Anolis sagrei: one gene and its partners. The protein of the gene in region 2 binds, or shares a complex with, the protein of the main gene of each other region. Links are inferred from orthologs where the notes say so. Each region holds a gene or a part of one and is shown on either strand. Other genes may lie near its edges.

The links. The genes of interacting proteins can lie anywhere in the genome.
Region 1: PRPF8 (region 2) and LSM5 share a complex: the UniProt entries of both Homo sapiens proteins name them as parts of the U4/U6-U5 tri-snRNP complex. The link is inferred for Anolis sagrei from reciprocal best matches to the Homo sapiens genes PRPF8 and LSM5.
Region 3: PRPF8 (region 2) and LSM2 share a complex: the UniProt entries of both Homo sapiens proteins name them as parts of the U4/U6-U5 tri-snRNP complex. The link is inferred for Anolis sagrei from reciprocal best matches to the Homo sapiens genes PRPF8 and LSM2.

The regions. Positions count from the first base shown.
Region 1 is NC_090026.1:72,054,203-72,061,930, forward strand, and holds the start of LSM5 (U6 snRNA-associated Sm-like protein LSm5), read left to right. Parts: upstream 1-4,717; 5' UTR 4,718-4,769; coding exon 4,770-4,815; intron 4,816-7,728. Other genes in the region: late secretory pathway protein AVL9 homolog, read right to left, coding at 2,783-2,977. UniProt on the Homo sapiens protein: Plays a role in pre-mRNA splicing as component of the U4/U6-U5 tri-snRNP complex that is involved in spliceosome assembly, and as component of the precatalytic spliceosome (spliceosome B complex).
Region 2 is NC_090031.1:35,466,068-35,473,589, forward strand, and holds the start of PRPF8 (pre-mRNA-processing-splicing factor 8), read left to right. Parts: upstream 1-4,511; 5' UTR 4,512-4,649; intron 4,650-6,315; 5' UTR 6,316-6,330; coding exon 6,331-6,436; intron 6,437-7,419; coding exon 7,420-7,522. Other genes in the region: C1QBP (complement component 1 Q subcomponent-binding protein, mitochondrial), read right to left, coding at 609-704, 1,633-1,717, 1,834-1,984, 3,623-3,923. UniProt on the Homo sapiens protein: Plays a role in pre-mRNA splicing as core component of precatalytic, catalytic and postcatalytic spliceosomal complexes, both of the predominant U2-type spliceosome and the minor U12-type spliceosome.
Region 3 is NC_090022.1:21,207,148-21,214,220, forward strand, and holds the start of LSM2 (U6 snRNA-associated Sm-like protein LSm2), read right to left. Parts: upstream 3,012-7,073; 5' UTR 2,853-3,011; coding exon 2,850-2,852; intron 1-2,849. UniProt on the Homo sapiens protein: Plays a role in pre-mRNA splicing as component of the U4/U6-U5 tri-snRNP complex that is involved in spliceosome assembly, and as component of the precatalytic spliceosome (spliceosome B complex).

The sequences.
Region 1 (7,728 bases), on a different chromosome or scaffold from region 2:
CATTTCCGCTACCTTGGTAGTCACCTCTAGACAAAAGACAACAGTGACACTGAAATAAAACTCCGCTTGAGCTCTGCGAGTGCAGCATTTTTCTGAATGAAGCAGAAAGTGTTTGAGGACCGGGACATCCATAGGGAGACCAAGGTGCTTGTTTATAAAGCTATTGTCCTCCCAACCCTGCTATACACCTGTGAAACGTGGACTGTCTACAGATGCCATACGTAACTCCTGGAACGATTCCATTAGCACTGCCTCCGAAAAATCCTGCAAATCTCTTGGGAAGACAGGCGGACAAATGTCAGCGTGCTGCAAGAAGCAAAGACCACCAGCACTGAAGTGATGCTCCTAAGCCATCAACTCCGCTGGACTGGCCACGTTGTTCAAATGCCCAATCACCATCTCCCGAAGCAGTTAATATACTCCTAACTCAAGAACAGAAAACGGAATGTTGGAGGACAGGAAAAGAGGTTTAAAGATTGGCAAAGCCAACCTTAAAAACTGTGGCATAGACACCGAGAACTGGAAAGTCCTGGCCCTTGAGCACTCTAACAAGTGTCAAGTTTATAACTTTGTAAGTACCTTTAAATGTGTTTTAACATGTGATGTTTAATGGATATATTTGCAACAAATGTTGATGTATATAATAAGTGCTAAGTTTATAACTTTGGAAGTAACTTCAAATGTATTTCAGTATATGATGTTCAATATATATATTTGCAGCAAATTTTGATGTATATAATAATTTTAGTCCACTAGAGGAAGGCCTGGAGAAAGAACAAAACCGGTCGTGGATGGCTGATTCATATGCAACTCAACATAAGAAGACACGACGTTGATACCATTTCAAAGTGACTGTACAAAAACTCATATAATATTGTTTGTGATCACTGTAAACTTGAACAGTATAACAAGTTTATACAATTATACATTGAATTCTATTTTCTATTTTCTATACAAGGGGGATATTTGTTGAGCATACTAACTCAGGAACCCATTCATATTGCACTCTAACTAAAGGTGAGCTGTGACCAGCAGTGCTGTGACCAGCAGTGCTGCAAAATTCAAAGAGGCACAAATGGAGGGTGAAAGGGAGAAACATGCCCAAAGGAAGGCGTGTCAAGCCAACCCTGATTGGACCGCCTCCCATCTGGAAACTCACTGCAGAAGAACATGTGGATCAAGAACTGGGCTCCACAGCCACCTACGGATCCACCGCCAAGACACCACATCTGGAAGACAATCATCCTCGAGCTATGAGGGATTGCCTAAGGATCAGAAAAGCCGAAGTATCACTGTCTCAGTCACCCAAGCAGTCAATTTTGGAGGATTCTGGCCCTCTTGTCAAGAGATACCTGTCACCTGTACGCAGATGATGTCCAACTCTATCACTCCTTCCCTCCTGCAACTAAGGAGGCTGTTCAGATCCTGAACCGATGCTTGGCCGCTATGATGATCTGGATGAGGGCAAACAAATTGAAACTGAATCCAGACAAGACAGAGGTCCTCCTGGTCAGTCGTAAGGCCGAACAGGGCATAGGATTACATAGCCTGTGTTGGATGGGGTTGCACTCCCCCTGAAGATGCAAGTTTGCAGCTTTGGAGTGATCCTGGACTCATCGCTGAGCCTGGAACCCCAGGTTTCGGCGGTGACCAGGGGAGCATTTGCACAGTTAAAGCTTGTGCGCCAGCTGCGCCCATCCCTTGGGAAGTCTGATCTGGCTACAGTGGTCCACGCTCTGGTTACATCCCATATAGACTACTGCAACACACTCTATGTGGGGTTGCTTTTGGAGACTGTCCGGAAGCTTTGAATGGTCCAACGAATGGCAGCCAGATTGCTAACAGGTGCAGCGCTCAGGAAGCATACAACTCCTCTGTTGCGCCAGCTCCACTGGCTGCAAGTTTGCTACCGGACACAATTGAGAGTGCTGGCTTTAGCCTATAAAGCCCTGAACGGTTCTGTCCCAACTTACATGTCCGAACGCATCTCCCCTTATGAACCAGGACCTTAAGATTGTCTGGGGAGGTCCAGCTCTCGTTACCGCCTTCATCACAAGTACATCTGGCGGAGACAAGACAGGGACATCTCGGCGGTGGCCGCTCAGCAGTGGAACGCCCTCCCTATAGATATTAGATCGGCCACCTCCCTTTTAACATTCCAGAAAATGTTAAAAGGGCTTTTTGAACAAGCGTTTCCAAGTGCAGAGTAACTGACATAGAAAAATGGAAAGACGACAATGAGACTGGACAACGTTTTTAACAAGGCGACACTAAGAATTTATATTTTATTGATATGTTTAATTTTTATTATATGTCTTGTTTTTAATTGTATTTATGATATTGTAAGCATTGAATTTTACCCTGTTAACTGGCTTGAGTCGCCTTCGGGCTGAGAAAGGCGGTATACAAATACAGTAAGTAAATAAATAATAAATACCCGATCTATATTTTGTAGCAATAGAAGTCAAAAGTGTGAGAGAAATAACACTCCTGAGATACCTGTCCAGATTGAAAGGAATCATACTCTTGAGATACCTGTTTTAGTAATACTCCTGAGACACCTGTCCAGATTGAAAGAAACAATACTCCTGAGATACCTGTCTTAAGCAATACTCCCAAATCTTGCCCTGAGGGTGGAAAAGGAATGAAGGGGGAGGGAACTGAGAAGCAGAGGAATCCAATGGCAGCCTTTGGGAGAAGGAGCTGGAGGCGCAGACTTGGGGAAAGGGAACTTGTGATGGGGAAGCGAGAGACCCTCCCTCCCTGCCTGCCTCCTGCTCACCTGGCAGCCCTTCTTGTGGTGGAAGCCGACCACGGCGATATGCAGCACGGGCCCCTTGGAGGCTCGGGGCGGGAGGTCGCCCTGCGCTCGGCCCCTCCGCTCCATGAAGGGAAGGAGAGCCGCCTGCCTTCCTCCACTCTTGACAGGCTCCTTCCCCACTCTCCGGATGAGCGGCGCGAGGCGGCCACTGAGCATGCGCCAAGAAGGAGGGCGCACGCGCAGTGGCGCCTACCGAAGCCCTCGCGCCGAGAGCTCAGGAAACCGGAAGAGAGCGGACTTCAGTCACCGCCGAGGGCCGGGAGGCCGAGCCAGTCCCGAGGAGGGAGGGAGGGAGAGGACAGAACGAGGAACCTGGGCGTGAAGGTCTCTAGTCACAAAGTCCAATAGCCGAGGGAAGTTACTGGCCGCCTTGGCCAAATTAGGGCCACAGGAAGAAGAAAGTTTCCTGACCTGTTACCTCAGGCTGGTTCCTCTGGGCAACCAGTTGCCAGGGCTCTGCTCTTAAAGGGACAGCACCCTCAGAACGCCATAGAAAGAAAGTCCTGCTACTATTATTTATTTACTACATTTATATGCTGCCCTTCTCACCCTGCAGGGGACTCAGAGCGGCTTACAAGCTATTTATACATACAATATATTATGTTATTATATATTATATATTAAGCTGGGGTGAAAATTGCTGGAAAAAACATTAACAACCTCAGATATGCAGATGACACCACTCTGATGGCCGAAAGCGAGGAGGAGCTGAGGAGCCTAGTGATCAAGGTGAAAGAAGAAAGCGCAAAAGCCGGGTTGCAGCTAAACATTAAAAAACCCAAGATTATGGCAACAAGAATGATTGACAACTAGAAAATAGAGGGAGAAAATGTGGAGGCCGTGACAGACTTTGTATTTCTAGGTGCAAAGATTACTGCAGATGCAGACTGCAGCCAGGTTCGAATCTGGGGAGCGGCATGAGTTTCTGCTGTCAGCCCCAGCTTCTGCCAACCTAGCAGTTTGAAAACATGCAAATGTGAGTAGATCAATAGGTACTGCTCTGGCGGGAAGGTAACGACGCTTCATGCAATTATGCCAGCCATATGACCTTGGAGGTGTCTACGGACAACGCCGCTCTTCGGCTTAGAAATGGAGATGAGCAACATACCCCAGAGTTGGACACGACTGGACTACATATCAGGGGAAAACCTTTAACTTTACCTAAAGTAGCTTTAGTTACTATTTCTCATTTCCCCCTATGTACGTCCTGTATGACATCACTTTAAACTGCCATGGGTCAGCACTAAGGGAGGTGAAAGACTTTGTGAAACTATAACTCCCATGATTTCCATAGCACTGAGCCATAGAAGTTCAAATGAATCCTACATCCACTCTGTAGGATTCATTAATCTTACAGAGTGGATGCACCTACATTAGGAAGAACTTCCTGACTGAGAGCAGTTCAGCAGTGGAACTCTCTGCCCCGGAGTGTGGTGGAGGCTCATTCTTTGGAGGTTTTTAAACAGAGGCTGGATGGCCATCTGTGAGAGGTGCTTTGAAGGCAATATTCCTGCTTCTTGGCAGGGGGTTGGACTGGATGGCCCATGAGGTCTCTTCCAACTCTGTGATTCTATGAATACACAGGAAGCAATCGTATTCGCAGTGTGTATATTCCTGCTGTCATTGCAACTTGTCGTGGTGGGTGCCGTACAATACAAAATAGCTTGAGATCTGCGTTTCGTTTAGAGTTGGATCCCGCTATAAACCATACACCAATCGCTCAGTGAAGCATCCTCATGTGACTAGATGAGCTCGTCCCCGCCTCCTCTTCCTCCCCGCTGTTGAAACCGTTCGACTGCTCGCTCATCGATTGGTTGGACCTGTCTGAGCGGTGCCGCCGGGTCGATTCTTTGTGGCGTCACAGCCCCCGTGATCCTTATTTAGCCAATAGGCTCGAAGCAGCGCCGCGCGGAGGGGGTGGAATTGATTAGTTGGGTCTGGCGCAAAGATGGCGGCCAACGCGACGACCAACCCGTCTCAGCTTCTACCTCTTGGTAACAAACTGAGGGAAACGCGACGAGGAGGAAGGGGAAGGGGAAGCGTGGCGTTTGGGAGAAGTGGGGAGCTGTCATATTTGTCTGGCAAATTAAAAAGATAAATGACTGAAGTGGTAAATGCTCTTTCCCCGCTTCCTTGGCCATTAGCTTCAGGCGAAACCTATGTTTGAGGCCCTGCGTCAGGGAAGTTCTGTCAGTTTTCTTGGAAGTGGGATGAAGGAACTCGAGAAGCAGCTTTGTTCTATTTTGTTCTCCTAATATTTTTAATTATTTTTTTTACAACAAAAACACAAAAAGGAGCAATACTTGTAAATACAGGGTGAGGCAGCATAACTTCCTTTTTTTCAAAACTTAATAAAACCCATTGTATGAATCAGAATTTTTTTTAAATCATCATCATTATCATTTAATAACTTATTAATCACCTAGAGAATGCTCTAGGCTAAATTACAAAAGATAAAATACATACATACAAAAATTAAAAATCAACAGAGATCGAATGCTCTAGTAAAAAGCCAGGTCTTAAGTGCGAGAGTAAAAGGCCCTAAGTCACGCATGGCTCTCATGTAGGGTGGCAAGGAATTCCACAAGGCAGGGGCAGAAATAGAAAAAGCCCTGCGTCTGGTCCTTTCCAAGTGCACTTCTCTAGGACCCGGTATATGGAGTAAGTCACGTTGGGCTGGTTGTTGCGACCTCCGATGATGGGAGAAGGAGAGGCGGTCCCTAAGGTACGATGGACCCTGGCTGTAAAGAGTTTTAAAGGTCAGAACTAGCATCTTATACAGGCCACGGTACTCAGTTGGAAGCCAATGTAAATGTTGCTGCACTGGTGTTATATGGTATTTCATGGGCGTTCTTGTGAGTAACCTGGCTGCCGCGTTCTGAACAATACGAAGCTTTCGGGTCGTAGACATCGGAAGGCCCACCTACAGGGCGTTGCAATAGTCCAGCGTAGACGTGACCGTGGCATGGATGACAGTTGCCAGAGCCTCGTCAGATAGGTAGGGTGCCAGTTGCCTCGCTTGTCGTAGATGGAAAAAGGCCTGTTTCCTGGCAGCAGTGACCTGAGCTTCCATTGTCAGCTGTGAATCCAGGACAACACCTAAGCTCTTAACAGTGATCGATGGAGATAGGGCAGCACCATCGAAGGTGGGTAATGGAGTCAGACCTGCCAGGCGACCATGCCAGAGAATCTCAGTCTTCGCTGGGTTCATCTTCAGTCTGTTAGCACGTAGCCAGTTTGACAGAGCTTCCAGACATAGGGTGAAATTGTCTGGAATTGACGTTGCTCCAAGCTCCGCATACCTAAAGTTTTGTTTTACATAGTTTTGAAGATCAAATTAGGTAGGTGACGTCCCCCATTCGCCATACACTGAGTAAAGCAATTTCTGGTGTTTGTCATGACTTGGCAGCATAGCAGGCATTATGTTGGCAGTTTCTTCCTGGATGTTGGTCTTCAAATCTTGTAGGGTCCTTAGACGGTTCGCATAAACACGGGATTAGAAAAAAAATCACAAGGGGCCAAATCTGGAGAGCTGGCCGGCCACTCCAAATCCGCTCGAAAAGTAGGCCTCAATGGCAAAAGTATGCTCCTCACTGTTCCAATGCATGATGGACTGAACTGTGTCAGGACAAAACTTTATACTCCCGCTTCTCGAATGAGACCACTAGCGCTCCACTTCGTCTTCAGCCGACTAAATTGAGCACATTTTTTAAAAAGGAAGTTATGCTGCCTCACCCTGTACATAAAACATGACATACTTAGAGTATGACAACCCGAAGAACATACATTTCTACCTACAACTCTACAACATTAGTTTTCAAAGTGGATTTCCAACATCTCTTTTTTTCAGTTTCTCGATCAATTTAATTGTTTTTCTTCCACTTTATATCCAGCCAATTGTTTACTTTAGTTTTCTTTAACATTTGCAAATGAATATCCCAACATTTTATGTCACCAAACCTATATATAAAGTCTTTCATTCTCCCCAGATATATCTTGATAATATGGTTTCCACTGGGTTGCTGTGAGTTTTTCGGGCTGTTCCAGTAGTATTCTGCAAGTCTATTATTGGCAAACAAAAGATATCTCCAGACTACAACACTGACTGACTCTGCAGTTGCAAGGCTAGTAAAGGTAAAGGTTTCATAAAACAGTCGTATCCGACTCTGCGTGGTGGTGCACATCTCCCTTTCTAAGCCAAAAAGCCTCTGTTGTCCATAAACACCTCCAAGGTCATGAGGCCAGCATCATTGCATGGAGCACTGTTACCTTCCCACAGAAGAGGTATCTATGATATACTCACATTTGCATGTTTTCGAACTGCTAGATTGGCAGAAGCTGGGCCTAACAGTGGAAGCTTACCATGCTCCCCGTATTTGAACCACCAACCTTTTGGTGAGCAAATTCCGCAGCTTGGTGGTTTAACCCATTGAACCACCGGGGGGGGGGGGGTGCAAGGCTACTCAATTCTACTCAGTCTTGCTAATTGCAAAACTTGCTTCAAACAGACAAGGTCCCCCCCCCCCCCCAACCTTGGACAGTTCACAGATATATACACTCTACATGCCTCACTTCCAACAGTCCTCAGAACAAACCTCTGAAGATGCAAACCACAGATGCAGGCAAAACGTCAGGAAAGAATGCTACTGGAACATCACAGCAGCCCAGTGATTTCAGCCATGAAAGCCTTTGACAACACATGGTTTCTATTCTAAGATTGTGCCCAATGTCTTATCTATCAACAACATTGTTAAATTAGTCTGTTTCTATTATTTATTGCATCTTGACTGTCCAATTTTCTATAGTTGGTATTTCTGTCATTTTTCACCTTGGAACATATACAATTCTTGTTGCTGTTAACATTTATTGCAGCATTCTCTCATGTTCCTTTTTATTTGATTGTTCAA
Region 2 (7,522 bases):
CCGTATAATGGCATAATACAATATAGTAATATTTAATACTGATACTGAGAAGGGCGGCATATAAATGTTGTAAATAAATATAAACGTCACAAATAAATAAATGCCACAGACACACAACACATATAGACAGACATATAGGCAGACACACAGAGGCTATTTAACTTTCTAGCTTCGTGAGAGTATTCTTTCTCAATTCCAGCCACCGGGGGAGCTATCGCTCCACTGTCCACTTGTGACACTGATGGAGATTTTTATGGCGTCGTAAATTAGTTAATTAGCCTCCTAAATTTCCTACTTGACAGATGCAACTGTCGGGCTGCAAAGGTCAACAGCAAGCTAGACAAATGGTGGGAAGCTCACTCCGACCCGGGCTGGCTTCGAACTCATGACCTCTCGGTCAGTAGTGATTTTAATGCATACACACACAATATATTTCAGACCCCCTTTCCCCATGATAACAATAACTCTTCCAGGAGTGGATTTCCCTTCCGAGGGGGGGGGGGTGGATTCCCCTCATTCCCAGTTGCTTCAGCCCTGTTCTTAACTGTGAGTCGTTTGTCAGTCGGATGTTTGCAACTTGGGAACGGCCCACACGGGCCTCCACTCACCTCGTCCTCAGGGTAGTGGCAGTCCAGCACCAGGGTCTGCTTGGTGTCATCTTTGGTGACTTCCACAACAAAGTTCGGGGTCGACGTGAGATCCGGCTGCAGGAAAAAAACAGACCTCTGTTTAGCCATCTTGATCACTGCCTTCCCTTTGGGAGAACTGGTGGAGTCTTCGTGAACAGAGTACGCATGGCCCTCTGTCGGGAGGGTTTGGGTTGCATCTTCCCACCTGGCTGAAAGGGGTTGGACTAGATGCCCTTTGGGGGCCTCTCCCAACTCTAGGATTCCACTGCCATTCTGTAAGCTGCTGGCAATACTGGAAAGGTTTGGGGGGAATTCACCTTGATTCACAGTCCTTGTAGGTACTGGGATTTATAGTTCACCCGCAATCAAAGGGAACTCTGGACCCCACAATGATGGACCTGGGCCTAACTTGGCGCACAAAACCCCCATGACCAACAAAAGAATGTAGGAGGGACTTGGGGGGATTCATCTTGATTTTTAGGATTTATAGTTCACCTACATCCAGAGAGCAATGTCAACACAGTAATGGATCTGCACCAAATTCAGCACGCATACCCCATATGCCAAAATTTGAATACTGGTGAGTTGGGGGGGGGGGGGGAGGGATTGGCCTTGACATCGGTTAGTTGTACGTACTGGGATTTATAGTTCAATTGTGATCAAAGTGCACTCCGCACCCCACCATTGATGGAACTGCGTCTAACTTGGCACACATAACCTCCATGACCAAGGAAGGATTTGACAGGACTGACCACAGTGGGAGTTGTAGTTCACCCTGCAGCCAGAGAGCACACTGAACCCCACTGAGGATGCATCTAAAGCAAATTTGCCTAACATGACAAACTAAATATTGATGGGTTTTCAGGGAGTTCCCCTGGCATGATGGGAGTTGTAGTTCATCTAGAATCTTAGGCATTTGGGACAATTAAAAAGTGGCTTCTTCTAATAGCCCGGGCAATGCCAGGGACCCAAGCTAGTCTATAATAAAAGGACCCCCACTTACTTCTTGCTCGTCCGGCTTCTGTCCTTCTGGAGCCTCGTCAAAACTCGGCGGGATGCTGTTGTTGATGTTGAAGGACACCGTGACCCTGTGGACGGAACCAGGAGGAGGAGCCCAAGGTGAGCAAACTCCAGAGAGATATAACAAGAGGGGTGGGAGACCCCCACCTGACCCCACCCAGGAGGAGGAGGAGGCGCCCCTTACGTCTCGCCGGCCACTTTCCGCGCCAGCTTGGCCTCGGTGCCTTGGACGTCCAGCTCCCAGCCGCCGGACATTTTGGGCAATGACTTGTGCTTCTGGATCTTCTTCTCCTCCTTGATTTCGTCCACCAGGAACTCCGCAAAAGCTTTGTCGCCTGCCAAGAACACACAGGTGAGAGCTATCCACCTAATCCAGTGTTTCTCAACCCTCCTGATGCCACGACCCCTTAATACAGTTCCTCATGTTATGTTGACCCCCAACCATAACATTGTTTTTGTTGCTACTTCAGAACTGTCATTTTGCTTCTGTTATGAATCGTTGTGTAAGTATCAGATAGGTAGGATGTGGCACAAATACCCAATACACCCAAATTTGAATACTGGTGGGGTTGGGGGGGGGGGTTGATTTTGTCATTTGGGAGTTGTAGTTGCTGGGATTTATAGTTCAGCTACAATCAGAGCATTCTGAATTCCACCAACAATGGAACTGAACCAAATTTGGCACACAGAACTCCCATGACCAACAGAAAATACTAGAAAGGTTTGGTGGGCATTGGCCTTGAATGTTAGAGTTGTAGTTCACCTGCATCCAGACAGAACTACGGACTCAACCAATGATGAATCTGAACCATACTTGGCACGGATACTCAATATGCTCAGATGTGAACACTGGTGGAATTGGGGGAAAATAGACCTCGACATTTGGGAGTTGTAGTTGCTGGGATTTGTAGTTCACCTACAATCAGAGAGCATTCTGAACCTCACCAACGATAGAATTGGGCCAGACTTCCCAAACAGAATCCCCAAGACCAACAGAAAATACTGTATTTTCTGATGGTCTTTGGTGACCTCTCTGACACCCCCTCATGACCCCCACAGGGGTCCCAACCCCCAGGTTGAGAAACACTGACCTAATCTATGGACCTATCTATGTATTTATTATTTATTTGCGACATGGATATGCCGCCCGCCCTTCTCCCCTTACTCAGGGGACTCAAAGCGGCTTACAAAATATATACATACAATATAATATATTATTAGTATAGTACAATATCAGTATTATATATTACTATCAATATATCTAATCTATCTGTAGCTATTATCTATGCAACTATGCATCTAATCTATGCATCTGCCTATCTGATCTATCTGTATTTATCCCTCTATGCAACTATGTATGCATGTCTGTATCTGATCTATGCATCTGTTTATCTAATCTAGCTGTCTCTTTGTAGCTATGCAACTATGTAAGTATATCTGTATCTATCCTATGTATGTGTTTATCTGTCTAAGCCAGGGATCCTCAAACTAAGACTTGAGGGCCGGATGCGGCCCTCCAAGGTCATTTCCCCAGCCCTCGCTCAGGGTCAACCTAAGTCTGAAATGACTTGAAAGCATGACAACAACAACCAGCCCACACCAAAGCTCCCATAATTACATTATTATACGATTATTATATATATATATATATATATATATATATATAATTCTAACATTATTATAATATATAATATAATATTATAAAATTATATATAATATATTATTATTATTATTATTCTCTTCCTAGGCACAGAGATCCTATTCCCAGAGAGAACGCATTCAAAACCCTATTTTCAGAGAATATTTTTATTTTGTTATTATTATTATTATTATTACTTGTGGTGTCAGGAGCGACTTAAGAAACTGCAAGTCGCTTCTGGCGTGAGAGAATGGGCCGTCTGCAAGGAGGTTGTCCAGGGGACGATGCCAGGCGCGTGGCCAGGAGGTGAATGGAGGAGGAGGAGGAGGCTCACCTTCAGTGTGGAGGCCCGCGCATGCGCAGGGGGCGGAGGGCAGGCTCCTGAGGCCTCCCCCTCCCCCGCGAGGCCTGCGCTCCTGGAGCTGCCACAGCGAGCGGGTGAAGGGCCGGGCGGCGGGGAGCAGCCGCGGAGCCAGGCTGGAGGCGCCCGTCCGCGCCTGGAAAGGCCGAAGCGCCGCGGAAGCCGAAGAGCGGAGGACCCGAGCGAGCAGCATGGCCGTCTGAGGGGAAAGGAACGCGCACCGGAAGTGGAAGCAGCAGCAGCAGAAAGCCGGAAAGGGCGGGGAAAAGCACATCCCCGCTAGTGCGCACGCGCATCAAAGGTTCCCGCCCCTTTCTCATTCCCGGCGTGTTGCCTTCCCGCCCTCACTGCGCACGCGCCGAAGAGATAGAAGAGAACTCCCCGCTAGTGCGCATGCGCAAAAAATGTGCCCGCCCCTTTCTCTTTGCGGCGCGTTGCCTTGCCGCCCTCACTGCGCACGCGCTGGAGAGATAAAAGGGAGCTCCCTCGCTACTGCGCATGCGCATCAAAGGAGCCCGCCCCTTTCCCTTTGAAGCGTGTTGCCTTCCCGCCCTCACTGCGCACGCGCCGGAAAGAGACAAGCGAGCTCCCCCGCTAGTGCGCATGCGCATCAAAGGTGCCTTCACACTCTCACTACGCACGCGCCGGAGAAAGAGAAAAAAGAGAGCTCCCTCGCTAGTGCGCACGCGCATCAAAGGTTCCCGTCCCTTTCCCTTTCCGGCGCGTTGCCTTCCCGCCCTCACTGCGCATGCGTTTGAGAGAAAAAAGGGGCGGATACCTTCTCCCTTCCCCGCCCCCTCACTCTCAGCGCTCGTCGATTGGCCGGCTGCGAAATCCTTTCCACGCCTCATCCGTTTCCGGAGAGTGGCGCCTGCGCAGTGTGAGATTCTCACGCAGAGGCGGCGAAGGCGGCCGCCATTACGAGTCCTTCGCCTGAGAGGAAAAGAGAGAAGAAGGAAGGAAGGAGGGGAGGAGAGAAGGGAAGATACCAGGCCGGAAGGTCAGTAGTCATCCCGAATTTTATTCCCCGCTATAATTGGGCTTATTTGCATATGCATAATGAGATACTTTAGAAAAGAAGGAGCGAGAATGGGTTTCTGGTTTACGCCAAGGAGGCGCCCGAAGCAGGACTAGGCCCACGCTTGGCGCATTTGCATACTGTTTGCTGATTGGCTACTCTTCCTCCTGCCCGCGTCTGATTGGCCAAGGCCTTGCTCCTTGGCCTAGGCTGGAAATTGAAGTCTTCTGCACACACTTCACTAATTACTCCTGTGCTTATTATTAATTAATTAATTACAATAAATTAACACAGGAGTAATTAGTAAAGACACACAGAGTGTGTGCAGAAGACTTCAATTTCCAGTCTAGGCCAAGGACTCATGTCTTATTAATAATATTAATTAATATTAATAATAATTAATGATAAGAATTTTATTTAACTGCCCCTCCCCATTATTTATTTATATTTGTATCCCACTTTATCTCCATATTGATACTCAAAGCAGCTCACAATAAAAATATTACAACTTCAGATATTCAATAATAAAACGGTAATATATATATAGTTGTGTGTGTATTATATATTAACAATAATATTATGTTTAATATATTATCATTATGGTGCATTATTGTGTATTGTTATATTGTATAATTATATAAATAAAAATGTAATGTTCGTTTGTGGGATTAACATAACTCAAAAACCACTGGACAAATTGACACCAAATTTGGACACAAGACACCTAACAGCCCAATGTATGTCCTTCACTAAAAAAAAAGATTTTGTCATTTGGGAGTTGTTGTTGCTGGGATTTATAGTTCACCTCCAATCAAAGAGCATTCTGAACCCCACCAACGATGGAATTGAACCAAACTTGGCACATAGTTCTCTCATGACCAACAGAAAATACTGGAAGGGTTTGGTGGGCATTGGCCTTTGGTTTTAGAGTTGTAGTTCACCTACATCCAGAGATCACTGTGGACTCAAACAAGGATGGATCTGGACCAAACTTGCCATGAATACTCAGTATGCCCAAATGTGAACATTGGTGGAGTTTGGGGAAAATAGAAACTTGACATTTGGGAGTTGTAGTTGCTGGGATTTGTAGAGAGCATTCTGAACCCCACCAACGAATTGGGCCATAGAACCCCCATGACCACCAGAGTGGGCCACAGCAACTCGTGGCAGGGAACGGCTAGTTATATAAATAAAAATGTAATGATTTATTGTGGGATTGGCATAACTCAAAAACCACTGGACAAATTGACACCAAATTTGGACACAAGACCCCTCTCAGGCCAACGAGTGACCATCACTGGAAAACACTGACAAACACTGGAAAACACAACAGAAGAGACTTAAAAAGCCGAAAAACAAAAAAAAAATACATTACAAAGCATGTGCAAAACCACATATACACACAAATACACATATACACACAAATATATACGCACACACATACACACAAACACAAAACATATATACACAGGCTAGACCACAGCAATGTGTGGCAAGGGAGGGCTAGTATATTATAGATAGGCAGGTGCATATTATATAATACATGTTATATGACATTATAGTGGTATAGTACAATATAATAATATACCATAGTAATGTATTATACTAATAGTATATATTAATAACATGTTTGTTTCCCTTCCCTTAGGCCTGACCTGCGGCCATGGCAACTGGCGTGTTCCCTCCCTTCCGGGGGCCCTGCCCTCCGATGCCGGCCCCTATGGCTCCGCTGCCAGACTACATGTCCGAGGAGAAGCTCCAGGAGAAAGGTACGATATGTTCACGCTCTTATATCGCCTTGTTAGTTGACATAGCCAGGCTGATCTGTCAAATTATTCCGTCATAGGTCTATGTTATTTAATCAGATTTAAGAGTTTTTACTGCTTATTATAATACCATTGACATTTAATTATATTTTAATATTGGCATATTTTTAGGTGGATTTCAATTGTATGCATTGGTTTTACAATAAGCTGCTTTGAGTATTTTTTTAGAGAAATATAGCAAGATCTAAGTAATAATAATAGTTTATTTATATACCATTAATATTGAATTCTATTTTAATGTTTGTGTATTTTAGGCCTTAAATTGTATTGGCCTAAATGTAAGATACTCCCTGACCAAACTTTGCATAAAATGACCTCAGAAGCACTTTATTTTATGGTTCGTGCAATTAAATCCTTCCCTGTCCCCGGATCCTCCTTCTAATAATTTATATTGTCCTATCTCCCAGCGTTTAACAAATTTATCATTGAGTTCGGCCTTGCCCAGCCTAATCCTCTGTGTTTTAATGTTTGATTTGCTTTTGTTCTTCATTTATTATATTGCTTTTGCATTTGATGTATTTTATTTCTGGTTTTGTTATGCTTTTGTGTTATATTATGATACTGTATTTTTGGACAAGGCCTCATGTAAGCCGCACTGAGTCCCCCTGGGAGAGATGGAGCGGGGTATAAAGTATTATTATTATTATTATTATTATTATTGGCTTCACTCTATTTATTTGTTTTATTTATTTATTTACTGTGCTTATATACCGCAATTCTCAGCCCAAGGGCAACTCTAAGCCCCTCTGAGTCTCTTATTCATAGAGAAAAAAAGCAGAGTATAATAAAAATAATGAGTAAATCCCTAATATACGACAGGCCTTAATTATAGGATCCTGGCAGTATCATTCCCTTTGGGCGGGGGGTGCTTTGGCTCTTTTGGGGAAAGCTCTGCCTCTATTGTGAGTGTGTTCTGGCTTTCGCAGCCCGCAAATGGCAGCAGCTGCAGGCCAAGCGCTACGCTGAGAAGCGGAAGTTTGGCTTTGTGGATGCGCAGAAGGAGGACATGCCTCCGGAGCATGTGAGGAA
Region 3 (7,073 bases), on a different chromosome or scaffold from region 2:
CCCTATGAGGAGTGGCTTCAGGAGCTGGAAAAGTTCAGTCTGAAGAAGAGAATGACATGATTGCTTTGTATAAATATCTGGAAGACTCTCATAAGGAAGAAGGAGCAGGCTTGTTTTCCGCTGCTCTGGACACTGGGACTCAATGGAGCAATGGGTTCAAATGACAGGAAAGGAGATTCCACCTGAACATTAGGAAGAACTTCCTGACTGTAAGAGCTGTTCAGCAGTGGAACTCTCTGCCTTGGAGTGTGATGAAAGTTCCTTTTTTGGAGGCTTTAAAAAAAATACTGAATGGTCATTTGTTGAGGATGTTTTGATTGTGGTTTTCCTGCATGGCAGGAGACTGGACTGGATGACCCATGTGGTCTCTTCCAACTCTACTATTCTAAGGTCTTTGGCCTTCTCTTCCAAAGAGAACTGGTCCTCACCAAACTGCAACTCCCAGGACTCCATAGCATTGATCCATGGATGGTCAAGGGGCATCAAACTACATTGATTTTGCAGTGTACAGCTGGCTCGTGTCCCTGTTTGTAGGAGGTACAGTTCCCAGGTGTTGCTTTCATTCTTCTCTCTAAACAGAATATTGTGTCACAGTAAATGTTATATTTCAGCATTATCACTTATCTGAGCTTCTTTTGTGTGTGTGTGTGTGTGTGTGTGTCAGGAGCGACTTGAGAAACTGCAAGTCGCTTCTGGTGTGAAAGAATTGGTCATCTGCAAGGACATTGCCCAGGGGACGCCCAGACGTGTTACCATCTGGTGGAAGGCATCTCTCATGCCCCCACATGGGAAGCTGGAGCTGACAGAGGAGAGCTCACCCCACTCCCTGGCTTTGAACCACCAACCTTTTGGTCAGCAGTCCTGACCATTGTGCCACCAGGGGCTCCATCTATCTAAGCCAGTGTTTCTCAACCTGGGGGTTAGGACCCCTGAAGGGGTCGCGAAGGGGTGTCAGAGGGGTCGCCAAAGACCATCAAAAAACACAGTATTTTCTGTTGGTCATGGGGGTTCTGTGTGGAAAGTTTGGCCCAATTCTATCATTGGTGGGGTTCAGAACGCTCCTTGATTGTAGGTGAACTATAAATTCCAGTATCTACAACTCCCAAATGTCAAAGTCTATTTTCCCCAAAGCCCATCAGTGTTCACATTTGGGCATATTGAGTATCCGTGCCAAGTTTGGTCCAGATCCATCATTGTTTGAGCCCACAGTGCTCTCTGGATGTAGGCGAACTAGAACTCCCAAACTCAAGGTCAATGCCCACCAAACCCTTCCAGTATTTTCTGTTGATCATGGGAGTTCTCTGTGCTAACTTTGGTTCAATTCCATTGTTGGTGGGGTTCAGAATGCTCTTTGTTTACATGTTAACTATAAATCCCAGCAACTACAACTCCCAAATGACAAACTCAATCCCCCCGCCAACCCCACCAGTATTCAAATTTGGGCATATCAGGTATTTGTGCCAAATTTGCTCCAGTGAATGAAAATACATCCTGCAGATCACTATTTACATGGCGATTCATAATGTTAGGGTTATGGTTGGGGGTCACCACAACATGAGGAACCGTATTAAGGGGGCGCGGCATTAGGAAGGTTGAGAACCACTGATCTAAGCTAAAGGCATATGTAGCCATTTTGACACCAGCAAAAATGATACATGGGAGTTATAGTTTTGCAAGGTCTTTATCCTTCTCTGCCAAATAACAGCTGGTGCCTCGCCAAACTTCTTCTTCTTCTTAGGCGATCCCTCGCTTTCCGAGGATGATTGCCTTCCAATATTCTTGTGGGTCCATATGTGGCTGTGGAGCCCTATTCTTGCTCTGCATCTTCTTCCGCAGTGAGGGCATTGGTTTCCTGGTGGAAGGCGGTCTTGGTCGGGGTTGGCTTGACGCGCCTTCCTCTTGGCACGCTTCTCTTTTTCGCCCTCCACTCGTGCCTCCTCAAATTCTGCAGCACTGCTGGTCACAGCTGACCTCCAGCTGGAGCGCTCAAGGGCCAGGGCTTCCCAGTTCTCAGTGTCTATGCCAGAGTTTTTAAGGTTGGGTTTGAGCCCATCTTTAAATCTCTTTTCCTGTCCTCCAACATTTCGTTTTCCGTTCTTGAGTTCGGAGTAGAGCAACTGCTTTGGGAGACGGTGGTCGGGCATCCGGACAACGTGGCCGGTCCAGCGGAGTTGGTGGCGGAGGACCATCGCTTCAATGCTGGTGGTCTTTGCTTCTTCCAGCACGCTGACGTTTATCCGCTGTCTTCCCAAGAGATTTGCAGGATTTTCCGGAGGCAGCGCTGATGGAATTGTTCCAGGAGTTGCATGTGACGTCTGTAGACAGTCCACGTCTCACAGGCATATAGCAGGGTTGGGAGGACAATAGCTTTATAGACAAGCACCTTGGTCTCCCTACGGATGTCCCGGTCCTCAAACACTCCCTGCTTCATTTCGGAAAAATGCTGCGCTTGCAGAGCTCAGGCGGTGTTGTATTTCGGTGTCGATGTTGACTTTGGTGGAGAGGTGGCTGCCAAGGTAGCGGAAATGATCAACATTTCCTCGCCAAACTACAACTCCCATGATTCAATAGCATTGAGCAATGGCAATTAAAGTGATGTCAAGCTGCACTCCTTCTACAGTATAGATGCACCCCTATTAGACACGAGTGCATGGACACCCCTGCAAGCAGGTTCCCCTTCCTGAATTGCAAACGAGTCCTGTGCCTGCTTAAGAGAAGACCCCAAAGACAAGAGACCAACAATCACAACAATGGAGGAGTTTCACCCCATTGAATTAATGCTTTTACTTTCCCGGGGGGAGGAGAGGGTGCTTGATGGAATGGCCAGCACTGTGACGTCACAGACTCACCATAACAGCCGCCGGCAACTCCCGCCGCACAGAACCCGCGTGGATCGAAGCCCCTGGACCAGAAAGAACTTCCCGGGCTGCGCATGCGCGGTGAGAGCCTCTGCGAACGCTCAGGAGACGAAGCAAACGGAAGCGCTGCCTTCGCGTGAAGCAGGAAAGGGAACCGGGCTGCCTTCTTAAAGGAGCCGCGGCCTAATTCTTCCCTTGATTGTTCCATATCTTAAAGGGGCCGGCTGATTAATTAACACGGCATTTAAAAGGGAAGCGGCTTCACTTTTCTTTGGGGTGAATCTACATTATACAATGAATGCAATTTGACGCCACTTTGAATGCCTTGGCTCAATGGTATGGAACCCTGGGAGTTGTAGTTTTCCAAGAGAAGTATCTATCTACACTATAACATTGAGGCGGTTTGACCCCGCTTGAACTGCCATGACTTAGTGCAAGTTTTCCAAGAGCAGTATATATCTACACTGTAGCATTGATGCAGTTGGACCCCACATTAATTCCCATAACTCAGTGCAATGAAGTTGTGGGAGTTGTAGTTTTCCAAGAGCATTATCTATACTGTTGCATGGATGCAGTTGGACCCCACTTGAACTGCCTTGAATCAGTGTAATGGGAAGTTGTAGTTTTCCAAGAGCAGTATCTACTCACTGTAGCATTGATGCAGTTTGACCCCACTTGAACTCCCATGACTTCATGCAATAGAGTTGTGGGAGTTGTAGTTTTCCAAAAGAAGTATCTATCTATACTGTAGCATGGATGCAGCTTGACCCCACTTGAATTCCCATGACTCAATGCAATAGAGTTGTGGGAGTTGTAGTTTTCCAAGAGAAGTATCTATTCTACACTGTAGCATGGATGCATTTCGACTCCACTTGCACTGCCATGCCTCAGTGCAATGGAGTCGTGGGAGTTGTAGTTTCCCAAGAAAAAAAATATCTATCTACAGTATTGATGTATACTTAGCATTCATGCATTTTGACCCCACTTGAATTCCCATGACTCAGTGCAATGAAGTTGTGGGAGTTGTAGTTTTCCAAGAGCAGTGTTTATCTATATGTAGCATGGATGCAGTTTGACCCCACTTGAACTGCCATGAATCAATGCAAAGGGGCTGTGGGAGTTGTAGTTTTCCAAGAGCAGTATCTACTCACTGTAGCATGGATGCAGTTTGACCCCACTTGAACTGCCATGACTCCATGCAATGGGGCGGTGTGAGTTGTAGTTTTCCAAGAGAAGCGTCTATCTAGACTGTAGCATGGATGCACTTTGACCCTACTTGAACTCCCATGACTCAATGCAATGGAGTTGTGGGAGGTGTAGTTTTCCAAGACACGTGTCTATACTATAGCATGGATGCAGTTTGAACCCACTTGAACTCCCATGAGTTAATACAGTGGTGTTGTGGGAGTTGTAGCTTTCCAAGAGAAGTATCTATTCTAAACTGTAGCATGGATGCGGTTCCCCCCCCCCCCCATTTGAACTGCCATGCCTCAGTGCAGTGGAGTCGTGGGAGTTGTAGTTTCCCAAGAAAAAATATCTATCTACAGTATTGATGTATACTTGGCATTAATGCAGTTTGACCCCACTTGAATTCCCATGACTCAGTGCAATGGAGTTGTGGGAGTTGTAGTTTTCCAAGACACGTGTCTATCTACACTGTAGCATGGATGCAGTTTGACCCCATTTGAACTCCCATGACTCAAAGCAATGGCATTGTTGTGGGAGTTGTAGTTTTCCAAAAGAAGTATCTATATATATTGTAGCACTAGCCGTCCCCTGCCACGCGTTGCTGTGGCCCACATAGGGGTTCTGTGTGGGAGATTTGGCCCAATTCTATTGTTGGTGGGATTCAGAATGCTCTGTGATTGTAGGTGAACTATAAATCCCAGCAACTACAACTCCCAAATGTCAAGATTCTATTTTCCCCAAACTCTACCAGTGTTCACATTTGGACATATTGAGTATTCGTATAGAGTTTGGTCCTATTGAGTATTCGTATAGAGTTTGGTCCAGATCCATTATTGCTTGAGTCCACAGTGATCTCGGGATGTAGGTGAACTGCAACTCCAAAACCAAAGGACACTGCCCACCAAACCCTTCCAGTATTTGCTGTTTTGTCATGGGAGTTCTGTGTGCCAAGTTTGGTTCAATTCCATCGTTGGTGGGGTTCAGAATGCTCTTTGATTGTAGGTGAACTATAAATCCCAGCAACTACAACTCCCAAATGACAAAATCAATTTTTTTGAGTGAAGGACATACATTGGGTTGTTAGGTGTCTTGTGTCCAAATTTGGTGTCAATTCGTTCAGTGGTTTTTGAGTTATGCTAATCCCACAAACGAACATTACATTTTTATTTATATAGATTGATGCAGTTTGACCACACTTGAACTGCCATGACCCCATGCTATGGAGTTGCAGTTTTCCAAGAGAAGTAACTATCAACACTGTAGCATTGTTGCAGTTCGACTCCACTTGAACTCCCATGACCCCATGCAATGGAGTCGTGGGAGTTGTGGTTTTGCAAGTTCCTTCTCTCCAATGAGTACTGGTGCCTCACCAAACTACAAATCCCAGGGTGCTTTTTTATCCCCCTGATTAAAATAAAAGGATGGAGGGAGTAAAAAAACCTTGGACAACCAACATTAAAAAAATTCCTTGTCTGCACCAGATGGCAGCAGAGAGCCATTTTTTGGCTTTCCTAAGGGAAATTCTCATTACACTTTAGATCAGGCATAGGCAAACTCTGGCCCTCCAGGTGTTTTGGACTTCAACTTCTACAATTCCTAACAGCCTACCAGAATTGTGGGAGTTGAAGTCCAACACATTGGAGGGCCGAAGTTTGCCCATGCCTGATCTAAAAGTGTAATGAGAATTTCCCTTAGGAAAGCCAAAAATGGCTCTCTGCCATTTGGATCCACCAATGCATCCTCTGATAGTTGACACATTAGAGCCACATAGGAATCTTGAGGTCCTCCAGCTTGATTCTATTGCTCAGATCCCCCAAAATGTTGACACCTTCTGCATTTAAATGAATGGACACCCTCTGCAATTATCTCTTTGTTTTATGTATAGATGCCGTGAAATGCCCTTATCTCTTGCATCCCGAAATATGACTATGATGTGGAACGCCAGTATGTAAAAAGGATATTGCAGAACTTTGAGAAAGCAAATGGTAACATAAGCTTTTGTAAGCATCTGAGGAGGTAGACTAAAGGTGCATCTGCACTGTAGAATGAATTCAGTTTTGAAATTGAGCAATTTCAAGGGGTGGCAGATATTGAGATCTGGATCGCAGATAGCGAAACCCAGTGTGTGGATACCGAGATCCATTAAGTGGGTAACAGGTACCGGCAGCAGGCCGACTGTGGATCCATGCCTGGTGAGACTAAGAAGCTATAACCCAATGTTCCCCAATCAAGAAATCTCACCAGTTGAAGATAAAGCTGTCAAAAAATTAAAAATGCTCAGTTTCTGCTCTGTAGCTAACCTGTACGGTTCTGTTCTGTGCTTTAAAAATGTTTAAGGCTATCAACTCACCCTCCGCATGTGAGGTTCGCTCAGTGATACGTTTTTTTGTCAGCAAGGAACCTGCCTGCTGCAGAAATTCATCGACAGATTTGTGAAGTGTACGGTGAGACTGTTATGAGTGAAAGCAAAGTGTGTAAGTGGGTACGACAATTCAAAGATGGCCGTGACAACGTCCATGATGAGGACCGCTCCGGTCGCCCTTCTTTGATTACAGATAATTTGGTGGCTTCAGTTGAAGTGAGGATTCATGAGAATAGGCGCTTCACAATAACAATAATAAAAAAATTTGAATTGTCATACCCACTTACACACTTTGCTTTCACTCATAACGGTATCACCGTACACTTCACAAATCTGTCAATAAATTTCTGCAGCAGGCAGGTTCCTTGCTGACAAAAACCGTATCACTGAGCGAACCTCACATGCAGAGGGTGAGTTGATAGTCTTAAACATTTTAAAAGCACAGAACAGAACCGTACAGGTTAGCTACAGAGCGGAAACTGAGCACAGTTGTTCCCGAGGCATGCCGGTACACGATGCACGCGCTCGTTGCAGTATGCGCGCGAACTACTAGTGTCTACAACAAAACGGACATTACTTAAAAAATACCCCTCGTATTTTTAATTACAAAAATGTGAGCCAAGCACTGAAAGGGTTGAATGAATGCAATGACTCAGCAAAAGCTA